3 linked regions of the Bombyx mori genome follow. The protein of the gene in region 2 interacts with the protein of the main gene of each other region in a biochemical or structural test. Links are inferred from orthologs where the notes say so. Each region holds a gene or a part of one and is shown on either strand. Other genes may lie near its edges. The genes, in order: E3 ubiquitin-protein ligase Nedd-4, Ubcd4 and anaphase promoting complex subunit 11.

What was found.
Region 1: the proteins of Ubcd4 (region 2) and E3 ubiquitin-protein ligase Nedd-4 form a complex in vitro, tested with the Homo sapiens proteins (2 studies listed by BioGRID). The link is inferred for Bombyx mori from reciprocal best matches to the Homo sapiens genes UBE2K and NEDD4L.
Region 3: the proteins of Ubcd4 (region 2) and anaphase promoting complex subunit 11 form a complex in vitro, tested with the Homo sapiens proteins (3 studies listed by BioGRID). The link is inferred for Bombyx mori from reciprocal best matches to the Homo sapiens genes UBE2K and ANAPC11.

What each region holds. Positions count from the first base shown.
Region 1 is NC_085125.1:1,983,990-1,987,647, reverse strand, and holds part of E3 ubiquitin-protein ligase Nedd-4, read right to left. Parts: intron 3,604-3,658; coding exon 3,469-3,603; intron 2,649-3,468; coding exon 2,524-2,648; intron 2,128-2,523; coding exon 1,986-2,127; intron 1,783-1,985; coding exon 1,573-1,782; intron 1,189-1,572; coding exon 1,082-1,188; intron 1-1,081. UniProt on the Homo sapiens protein: E3 ubiquitin-protein ligase that mediates the polyubiquitination of lysine and cysteine residues on target proteins and is thereby implicated in the regulation of various signaling pathways including autophagy, innate immunity or DNA repair.
Region 2 is NC_085107.1:6,308,225-6,311,982, forward strand, and holds the start of Ubcd4 (ubiquitin conjugating enzyme 4), read left to right. Parts: upstream 1-1,520; coding exon 1,521-1,583; intron 1,584-3,758. UniProt on the Homo sapiens protein: Accepts ubiquitin from the E1 complex and catalyzes its covalent attachment to other proteins. In vitro, in the presence or in the absence of BRCA1-BARD1 E3 ubiquitin-protein ligase complex, catalyzes the synthesis of 'Lys-48'-linked polyubiquitin chains.
Region 3 is NC_085118.1:13,747,588-13,751,345, forward strand, and holds the start of anaphase promoting complex subunit 11, read left to right. Parts: upstream 1-1,053; 5' UTR 1,054-1,235; coding exon 1,236-1,254; intron 1,255-1,264; exon of another isoform or gene 1,265-1,468; coding exon 1,469-1,704; 3' UTR 1,705-1,711; exon of another isoform or gene 1,712-2,752; intron 2,753-3,758. UniProt on the Homo sapiens protein: Together with the cullin protein ANAPC2, constitutes the catalytic component of the anaphase promoting complex/cyclosome (APC/C), a cell cycle-regulated E3 ubiquitin ligase that controls progression through mitosis and the G1 phase of the cell cycle.

The sequences.
Region 1 (3,658 bases), on a different chromosome or scaffold from region 2:
TCGTCCACCCATCAAAGCAATAAAAAAAAAACTCTTCAAACCGAATTTATTGATTTAGTCTCAGTTGTAACGTTATATATTACAATTTATTAATGTATTTCTGTCCGTCTGTTGTTAACACGTTGACTGTCGTGTAGGTCACAGGTGCCCTACGCGGCGCACTGAAGTAATTATTTCGATTTTTGTCGCCAAGCGTCTGGATTGCCTAACTTTGCCTTCTTTTGTTTTTAATGCAATTTTTAGTCTTTTAGGCTTCTTAGGAATAGATTCATTTTCAATATCTATAGATTCGTCATTCCCAGAGTCTACTAGATATTCCGGCGTCTTAGTAAGAAGATCGAAGAGAAAAATCTACATAATTAGTTCAGTGAGTCAGGTAGAGCACCGGTGACCTACATAGCAGTCCACATGTTAATTATATACCGGAGCTCATAGACATCACTACATAACCGTCAAAAGCCTCTGTTAGACATGATGACTAAGTCTCAATAGTATTTATTTTTATTTTATTATTTTTTGTGGTAATAGGTTAACAAAGATTAATAGGTTATTATTAATATATGTATCACTATGTCCTGCTAGTAAAGCGTACAAATATTAGTTGTAAGTATAATCTACATAAAAATATTAAACATAAATTATAATAATTTAACTCTATTCTACTTTATCATCTAAGTTATCTAATGTTATCGTCTAAATATTCTGACATAGTATAGCAATTTTCGCTTAAAATCTTGTAAATCTACCGTCTACGAAAATTTTTATAGGTAGTTTTATTAAATATTCTTGTTGACATACTAAAAAAACTCTTGTCATGAAGGGCAGTTTAATAAGTATAACGGTTGGCCCACCCTTCGCTTCGAAACTCATTACTGATTGGCGATTGACAGGGTGATTCTCCCAGTGAGGGCTCACAAGGCAACCACCAGAGAAATACTAAGCCGTGCAAACACACTAACACAAAATAGAGAAAAAAACGGCTGATAGCTTCGCTAAAAGCCGAAGAGATCGAACGAGTTCTGTCTTGCAGCGGGTGGATCATTATGCAACAAGTAAGTAGTATAATCTCATCAGAGCGTACCTTGATCCACATCAGAGAGTTGTAGTATTCCAAGTCCACGGACTCCATGTCGTGTAGATCGATGGCTTTACCCAGCATCATCTTGTAGAACGGTCGAATGAAGAACGCTGAAGAGATAGATACATCATTCGTTAATATTGTTTCCTTACACCATAAAGGTTTTAGAGCTAGACCCACGTCTAGCAGCCGGGGTCAGGGCACCGAGATGCAATTTGAGACACGGATTAGAGCACATTATCTAATTCAGTGAAGTACCTAACGTACTCTTTACAAAATCGCGACACTCAAGTGAAGGTACATTTATGTTACTGTAAATCATTAATATTGGATAAAACAGTTCTATATTAGCGGTACTCAGGTCCTTACCTGAAAACGGGAATAATACGGACCCTGGCGGGCTCAATAGACGCACGCGAGCTCGAGTTTGTCGCGAAAATTTAAACGTAAGGCCCTTTTCGCTACAAAAGGGCTAGTGCGAGCTGGCGACTCACCATCCAGGAGCTTCCCGTGGTACACGGCCATGCCCGCCACGCGGCCGATGAACTTGAAGTAGTTGAGGTGCTCCTCGTTGCACACGCCGCTGTTCGGGTTGATCTGCAGCGTGTAGTTGTCCATGGCGGAGTACTCGAACAGGCCGTAGTACGGATTGAACATCTCCTTCGACAGCAGGAAGAACCACTCGCGGGCAAGGCCGCCGTAGTCTGCGCACCAATCGCACACTTTAGTTAGCATTTTTAGTATGTTGAAGATTTCGCGTCAGCTGCATGAGCGTCAGGGAAAATTCCGCAGGTGGATTCCCTGTTTTTTTCTAATGAAATACATACTTAACCCCTTTCCCAAAAATGACTTCCTCTTTAAAAAAATAGAGAAGAGGAGGAAACCAGGGTTGTCACAGTTTACTCACCTAGCCCCACTTCGGATTCGAACTCGACCCACAGCTTAGTCTTAAGCAGATCCAGCCGGCTAACCGAACTGATGATGCGGTACGAGTCTTCCAATATCGAGTTCCGACGCACTTTTATCTCGAATTTGTTTGGCACGTTGTTCTGTAAACAAATAGTAGGGACTTCAATATAAACCCATTTATTCACAAGTACCTTTTATTACATTTTGGAGAGCTCTCGCGTGACGGTACTATATGTGCCGCTGCCAAAGACATTCTTTTCAATATTTTATTACTGCCCATGGGCGGACGTGTTTACAACCCATCTGCTGTTAAATTAAGCACATAGCTTTACCTGCCTTGATACATGTATATATATCTTCATTTCTATTTTTTTTAACAATTTTGTGTGTTAGTGAAAGTACACAAGCCTACATCTTTTTTAATTGAGATTATTATTATCGTTCTTCGACATCAGCTATGTCAGAAGCATTGTACGCATAATTGACGACCTAATAACATTGTCAATGTCATAGACTGTGCTATTCAAAAGACTTACAGGCTTACGAAGTTGACTCTTAAGGTATTCGTATTTCCGTTTGTAATCTCTCGAGTAAGGCACGGCCGGTCCAGCGATTTGAGGGTTGGAGAGGCGAGGGTCCTCCCATTGTGTGGTACGCGTATCTGAGGAACGTGTTCGACGTCATGAGACTGCCTTGAGTCGTTTTCACCAAGTTCTTAGTGCATTGCAATAATGTATATTTTGCTAGATCACCCAAAGCGCTTGGTTGTACAGTATGCAGTGATAGACCGAAGGTTGTTAAGGACGAGGACATTCAGGTCGCGTCTAGTTAAGTTCTTATAGCCTTGAGAGGCTATTTCAGCTTCACCTTAACGTGTAGGTGAGCTCACGGGGCTCAAGCCGAAGTGTTGCTAATACTGACCCTAGCAAGAGCAGTGCTTCGCAAAATCTACCACCAGATCGGAAACGCGACCCACTGAGAAGATCCGGCGAGAAACTCAGTGGGCTGTGTGTGGGTTAATTTACTCGTCGAGCCCTTCACCGCAAGCGACGGGTTCGACGAGAACGGTGACCGGGACAATTCATAAAGACATGTATATAATACAAGTTAGATTTAGTTACATTAACAACCGGCTCAACCGCATGATACCTGTTGGTAAGTAGCCCCTCAGAGACCTCTCAGAGAACAATTCTCCAGTAATCTATACTAATATATAAATCCACAGTGGTTTTTACGGATGTTCCGTTATAACTACTGAACCGTGCATCCGATAAAACAGAAAGAAGAAAATACATGTACTTAATGGATAGGGTAATATTTATATGAGTGTTGGACTCCCTACACCAATTGCGGGGACGTTAATGATGAGAATCTTTGTGGAGTGAGAAATAATAAGGATCATTTTAAATGGCCAGCGAAGCGGACGGGTACAGCTATTTAGATATAAATGTAGACAAGTTAAATATCGCGAACAGACTCACTGTGGTCGATGAAGAATATCCTGCCGTCGGTGTGGACGCGCTCCTCCCAGCCCTCGGGCAGGGCGCCGAGCTCGTCCCCGTCCCCCGCGCCCCCCGCACCGCCCGCCTCCGCGCTGGGCAGGCTGGACGCGCAACCTGACGCCCCAAACACACTGCAGTGAATCACGCAACACAATACCCTGTTCAGCTG
Region 2 (3,758 bases):
ATCTAAACAAATAACATGGATGCATATCAAATTAATTACTAATTCTATAGGTATTTTATTTAGTAATTGTTGTGTGAGCATTTGAACAAAATTCAACAGAAGAAATATTATTTTCCACAAAAATTATTATGTTTTTACATTTATTCAAATTGCAATAATTAGTCACCAATGTAGTCAGTACACTTATATATTTTATGTCAGTATTCACATGTTATATTAGCTATTTGAATAGACATTGATGTAGAATTAAGTCTAATATTTGCATTTAATACTAGAGTATTTAGGTTTGAAACTGACTACTTATTACTCTGAATTCCGTTCTTTGTGTGTATTGTGAACCGTTTTCATAAGTGCTCACTGTTGATAACTTCTTAAAAATATATTTTCGTTATTGATGAACAAGATAGCTCATTCTTTTGAAGTGACTTTATTAAATTTGTAATAAGCAATTGCTGTGTGTTAGAATTTTACCTTTACACCTTTAACAGCACACTTTTAATTTTATTATGATTGTCTAATTTGGTTACTTATACACTAAAATGTTAGAATTACATTAGTTTTCTATAAAGTTACACGCCTTTTATCTTGTAATTAAGTAAACAAATGCATTATTTTTATTGTTTGGATAATGTTAAGCATCCTCAGTAAATCATTTATAGAATTTTATTAAGTACTGGTAACGACTGTACACAATGAAGTGTGTATTCGGGAACAACGGGCGCCCTTCATAGCCTTGCACGAGTTATTTATGTATGCGAGAGCATCATGTTCTTATTTCAAACACCATTTATTTTTAAATTCATAACATAAACTACTATTGGATTGAGGTACTTAGCATGCATTAGACAAAATTTTAACATAAACATTATCACAACGCACCTTTAAGCGCCAGGTACATAGGTGGAACCCGGTGACATAGGGAGTAAATTAACATAACTTCGTCCTTAGACTGTTTATAACACTGGTCATACCTCAAAATAAGACCTAAAACTTACTCACTATTATTAACAGCAAACATCACGAAACTAAATTAACTTTTATTTTAATATTGCGAATAGGAAATCACAGACGGTAATAAAATTATTGCCACACATTCAAACCAACCACAGTACACAACTTGACTTGAAGCCTATTGAAATGCGTTTACGAATGCGAGGTCTGTTTCTCTTTAAAATCTCATGCAAAATGTTGAGTGATCTGTGAGATTTCTGAACGAAATACAGAGAAAGTAAAATTCATAGAGAAAGAAAACTACCGAAAATTATTGCAATGATATGGTAATACCGTTAGTAAGTGAGAAGAGAATGTCAAATTTATATTTTTAGTCTATGTTCGACGTCAGGGTGTGGTAGAATTTAATTTCAGATATAGTGGTAAACATTTGCTCGGAATACGTTTTTGAAAACTCTTTGGTAGAATATCCTGGTATCAATCTCTTTATTTCATCGCCTGCGATCGTGCGCTTTAAACGTTTTTGAATCCAGTAAAGCAATAAGTGAAAATTAAGTAGAATTTTAACAATGGCAAATATAGCAGCCAAACGTATAAAAAGAGAGTTCAAAGAGATAATGAAAAGTGAAGAGGTATGGATAATAATTTAACTAAACTTTATATTTGTTTTGATGTTTAGAATGTAGAACTGGAGTTACTTGCACTTTTGTTAAAATGTCATATTTTGTTGGAATGCATTATTATTATTTAGATAGTTAAATTGCCCAAGAAACTAAATTGTTGGATTGTCTCGATATAATAAAACAAAGAACAAATAGCCAGTTCAGAACAATGTGTGCGTGATTCAGCAAACTTGTAGAAATCATGTTTTGTTTAAATTCAAAACGTTAATGCTATTTTTAATTCGTCGAAAAGGAATTATTTTACTGCTTCGTAATAGTAAAATTAGCTTTTCAAAATACATCTATAATGTTTTTCGTGATTCATACGAGAAAAAGTAAACATTTTGTTTTCTATATTTTCTACCAATGTTTTTAATAGAAACAATACTTATATTACCCACATTGATCTTTATAAGTAATTGAAGTTGTGTTTAAAATAAAATAAAAGATTTTATCCGATTTATGCCCAAGCAAAAGTATTTTTGGCTTATTTATCAAATCACAGTTATGACACTGGTGGCTTCAGGCAACCATTTACTTCCAAAAAGCCAGACATAGTACAGGTATTTTTACATTATTTTGGATTTATTCCCTCATTATTGATTGCCATTGAAATAGAACTTGTGTGTGGGGCACCAGCATCCCCTTGTATATGTGTTCAGCTTACCAAGTAGCAATATTTACACATAACATACCGAATTTTTTTAAATTAAATATCTGTAGCACTATTGTCATGGACAGATTGCCTTATTTATTGCAATTGTAAGAGCACACCTGCGTGCAATGCATGTAATACATTAATGTACCGAACATGATCCAGGCGATACTAAGCTAACAGCATTCATAATCCACATTTTGATTACAATAGTAATTGTCCTCATAAACATGAACTAGACGATGACCGAGCTTTGCTCGGTATTAATTTTTTTTTTGATAAATTGTCTTTCGGTTGGCTTAACAACGTCATCTGTGGAAATAACTTTAGTGTTATTGTGTCTTTAAACAATTATGAAAAATAGTATTATTATTCGCCAATATATGTCGGGAAGTCATAAAGTTGATTATCGATAAAGTTGATTATTGAAAACACAAGTAAAACAACATTTCCTAAAATAAATTCTAGCTAGATCGATTTATCGCTCCCTGAAATCCCATGTATACTAAATTTCATAAAAATCGTTGGAGCCATTTCCGAGATTCAGATTATATATATATACAAGAATTGCTTGTTTAAAGGTATAAGATTCTGTGTTTGTGTAGACTAAGAATATTAAATATCTCAGTCCTAGCCCAAACCCAGCAAAAACTGAATTTTTCATTAGACAAAGTTTTTGCACTTCCTGCAAGTATGTGCTCTCCAATTAGCAAGTATCTTTTACTGCCTAGGTTGTATCTGAAAGCTAGCATGTGTAGTAAGAAGGTTACTCCTACTTAAAATATCTGCACTGCATTAGCACCAAGGCCCAATTTTTGTTTATTTATATATAGTGTAGATTATTGGAACTATCTTCTTATTGAGATCCATATTAAGAGTTTTTCAGGAATACCATTCATTAAATTGAATTACCAGGGCTCTTGCATTTACTTTTCTTAACCTTCTGTACTGAAATAATATACTGTACAATGACACATTGTGTAATTGTGTTAGTCATATTTGTATATCTAAAAGTGCATACTTGCTGCATTGTAAGCTTGCACAATTTCTTATCTCTCTCTAACCTTTAGCTTCTGCACGGCTGCCCACTGAGATCTTCTAGCACCTCACATCTAAATGGAACAAATGTTTATGTTTCTGCAAATATAAACAGCAGGGAAAACAAAGAGGGTTGTAATTGCCAGGAGGAGTGGGATTTGCTAACAACTGCCTTAGCACCTCTAAAGAAAACCTGCCATCTCAAGGGCAATTGCTTCACGAATTCATCTTCTACCAGACCGGAATTGCGCCCCACTGAGAAGATCTGGCGAGAAATTTAGCAGGCTCTAAATGTTATAGAGGGTAGATTTACTTTGAACTCTGACGAGTTTGATGAGTTCGGTTAGCAGGGTTCCTATACTTGCTCCTAGTGTTAGAGTTGCAGGTATCTAATGCAAGAGTTATTGGATCAGATAGATCTGTAAGGACGTGTCTAGAACGTCAACGATGAC
Region 3 (3,758 bases), on a different chromosome or scaffold from region 2:
TAAATTAAAACCAAGTAGTGCCCACCCTAGCAAATTTCTCATTTCGTCCCAATTAACCGCAATTTCCGGGTAAATAGGGATTACACCTATTTTTGCTTTTTTTGCTTAAACTGGAATGCTAGTTGCATAGTTTTAAATTGGACAACAAAGATGCTCCCAAGACTCAATCATTTTGATCCTGATATAGCATTATATACATCAACAACTACCTTAAAATTGGTCATAAAGATGGAATTTGTCCCTAATCGCCCCATTTTACCGGTACTTGCGTATTTCAAGTTGCTTCCGCTTGCAGTTCTTTCACTGAAGTTCCAGTACATGTGTAATTTCTATTTTTAGTATTGTTTAAAAGTGATTTATTAAAGACCTTGTTTAGTTTTTAGTTCTTTTTATTTCAAATGATTTTTAGTAGTTTAATTGAGTTTGGTAATTTTTTTTTATTTCACTTAACATCATTTCAAAATATGGTACTCGTTTATGACTTCGTTTCATGTATCGATCCCCGTGCCTATCAGATTTTGAAATAAAATAATAAAAATTACACTTTGAAAATTTTCGAATTAACATCTGACAATTTTTTTAGCGGGAACGCAAGGCGCTAAGTTCTGTTAATTTTGTTAAAGTAGTGCTCATGTTTAAACGTGTAATAACGGTGATTATTACACTATTATTATACTATATTACATTATTAACTGTTTAGTATCTCTGAAGGTGCACAAATGTGGGAAAATGAAACAAATTCGCTGGACGTAGCTTCTCAAAAGCTTCCAAAAAGTCTTGGTGCATAACCACCACTCCACTGAGACTATATTTCATCACATCTCATCTCATTTCATTAACATCCTAATTGATTTACTGTCTCAAATTAATAAACTTCATCTCATTTCGCTCTATGGTTTTTCAAAACACAGAATTCACAGAATACACAAAAAATACGCTGTATGGTGTGATACCTTCGTTTTTCCAGTTCAAAAAATAAAGTAGCCGATAAGACTGACATATGACTGACATTAAAAACAAATTTATTTGATCTTACTTGATTTTACTTCAGTGGTTAGATTAATAAAATAAACATTATATTTTTAAAATTAGCACATAAACTTAAAGGCAAATGATAAATACTGAAAAAAATTTGTTCAGTCAACATATTATATCATAAAAATCGTTAATTTAATTATGAAGGATCTTAAGGTTAAATAAATCTAAAACTTCTATTTTAGCCTCATGATCGCGCTATGAAAGTAACTGTAAAAAGTAAGCACAATCTCTTTTTTTCATAATGTTTATTTTCCCTGGTTAATTTACACTTTATTCTTTGCAACTTAAAACACACTGACATTAAAGTAAATTAAGTAGTAATTTTTGCTAAGTGCCTTATTGTCATAGAGCACAATTCTTAAAAATTCCTCATACAAGGAAGAACCGATTGAAATTGAAATATTCACAGTAACGAGATAATTCATTTTAGGTTGGACAGGGGTTGCAACTTGGAGGTGGGTAGCAAACGACGACAATTGTGGGATTTGTCGTATGCCATTTGATAGCTGCTGTCCAGACTGCAAACTACCTGGGGACGACTGCCCTCTAGTTTGGGGTGCTTGCTCTCACTGTTTCCACATTCACTGTATCGTAAAGTGGCTACACTCTCAGCCTCAACAGCAGTGTCCTATGTGCAGACAAGACTGGAAGTTCAATAACAAGTGAAATATTCGTAAGTACATACCATAAATTAAGAAAATATAGTTTAAATAATAAATAAATATAGGTTTTTATTCTCACACTTTATTGTGTCACTGCTGTCCCATTTTGTAACTATATTTTGTTTACCAACCTATAAGGCTAGAATAATTTGGAAAAATTTATTGTTTGGTGTTTTCAAACTCAATAAGTAGTTAAATGGTTCGATGATTATAGAGTCACAAATCCTTATTAGTCATTTTTAGTTTAGTGATAACAAGTTTAAATCTCACCTTAACTTATTAATCAGGTGGTATGTAGTATAGAATATAGGGATTGATCTGCACATAATAGCAACTTTTATTATTAATGTCAGAATAATGCAAATCTAACATAAATGAAGTTGACAATATCACAACATTTTTCTTTCTTTGAAGCTTTGATTACGGAGTTCTACAGTTTCCTTCCTTTCATAATTCAGCAGAGTACTAAGTTTTAAAGACAAAAGGTTGCTACTATGCTAGTACAGATTAAATATTATTAAAGTTTTCTGTGAATTGTTGTACAAGGGATTGTCAAAAATATCATAATAACGAGGGGTGAAAGGTTATTATTTGGTTTAAGAGATAATATTCGATATTTATCTTTGTAATTAAAGGTGCATTTTATTTGATGTCAGTATAATTTTTTAATTGAACTTTAATTAAGCTAAAGAAGTTTTTTTTTTATTATGTTTTTTTTTTCAAATTTTAAACTTTAAATGGCTCTGCTATAAAGCTGCAAAAATGTCGCTCAAATCAAATAGCCTTTCACCCCGATATGAACTACTGATAAATTTAGATGTGTTGGTGAAATTAGCCTACCTTATGTTCTTTTTTTTTTTATTGCCCCTGTGGGCATACGGCCCACCTGATGGTGAGTGGTTACCGTCGCCCATGGACCTCAGCAATGCTAGGGGCAGAGCCAAGCCGCTGCCTACTGCTAAAATTTTCACTGCTTTTCCATTATTTGTATTTGGGCAGGGATTAGATGCAGTGTAGTTCGACTCCCACAACCTGAATTTGTTCAAACCACTCTGAAATTATAAATATTAGGTAATGATTATTAACAAAACATCTGTAGTGATAGAAAACAATCTCTGGAAAAATATTCTATAAGGATTCTGGATGATTTGCCTTTGGCACCAAATAATTTGGTCAAAGGGCAAATTATCTCTCCCAAAAAAACCAAAATACTGGGATACTCTTAAAATATAATCTTTATATACAGTATTTATAATATACTTTTTTACTGGGCATCGTTTCTGCCTGCACTGATAGTGACCACCATCCTACATATTTTTGCTGTGAAGCAGTAAAATGTAAACATTTGATGTGTGGAGCAGCCGATGTACTGTAAAAACTGACTTAGAAGTCATGTCACAGAATGGGTTGTGACAACTCATTAATCTCTCAGCAAAAATTAACTGTGAACCTTGCTGTCTATTCTTCGAGTTGCCTTTCGCAAAACTCACGAGAAGAGAGTGGATGCCATTCTAGGCCCTCTGGAGCTTAGTGTGCTGCATGCCGACATCGGTGTGTTTATAAACCAAAAAGGTCCCACATATTGCTTAACAGCACTTCAAAGAAATGTGATCAAAGCTGAAGTCCTGACAGGATACGTTGATGGCAAGCAATTTTTTTTGCCCCGAAATCGTCCTTTTAATTTTTTTAATTTTTCTTGTTGCTTCGATGGGTGGACGAGCTCACAGCCCACCTGATGTTAAGTGGTTATTGGAGCCCATAGACATCTACAAACTAAATACGCCACCCACGTTGAGATATAAGTTCTAAGGTCTCAGTATAGTTACAACGGCTGCCCCACCCTTCAAGCCGAAACGCATTACTGTTTCATGGCAGAAATAGGCGAAGTAGTGGTACCTACCCGCGCGGACTCACAAGAGGTCCTACCACCTACTTAATCAAATATCATTTAGTTTCAAACGCGTAATTTTTGTTTGGCAATGACGCGTAAATAATACACGCGGGGGTAGACATCTACCAGCTGCTTCGCGCATGGCCAATAGTAAGTAGTTCATTTAT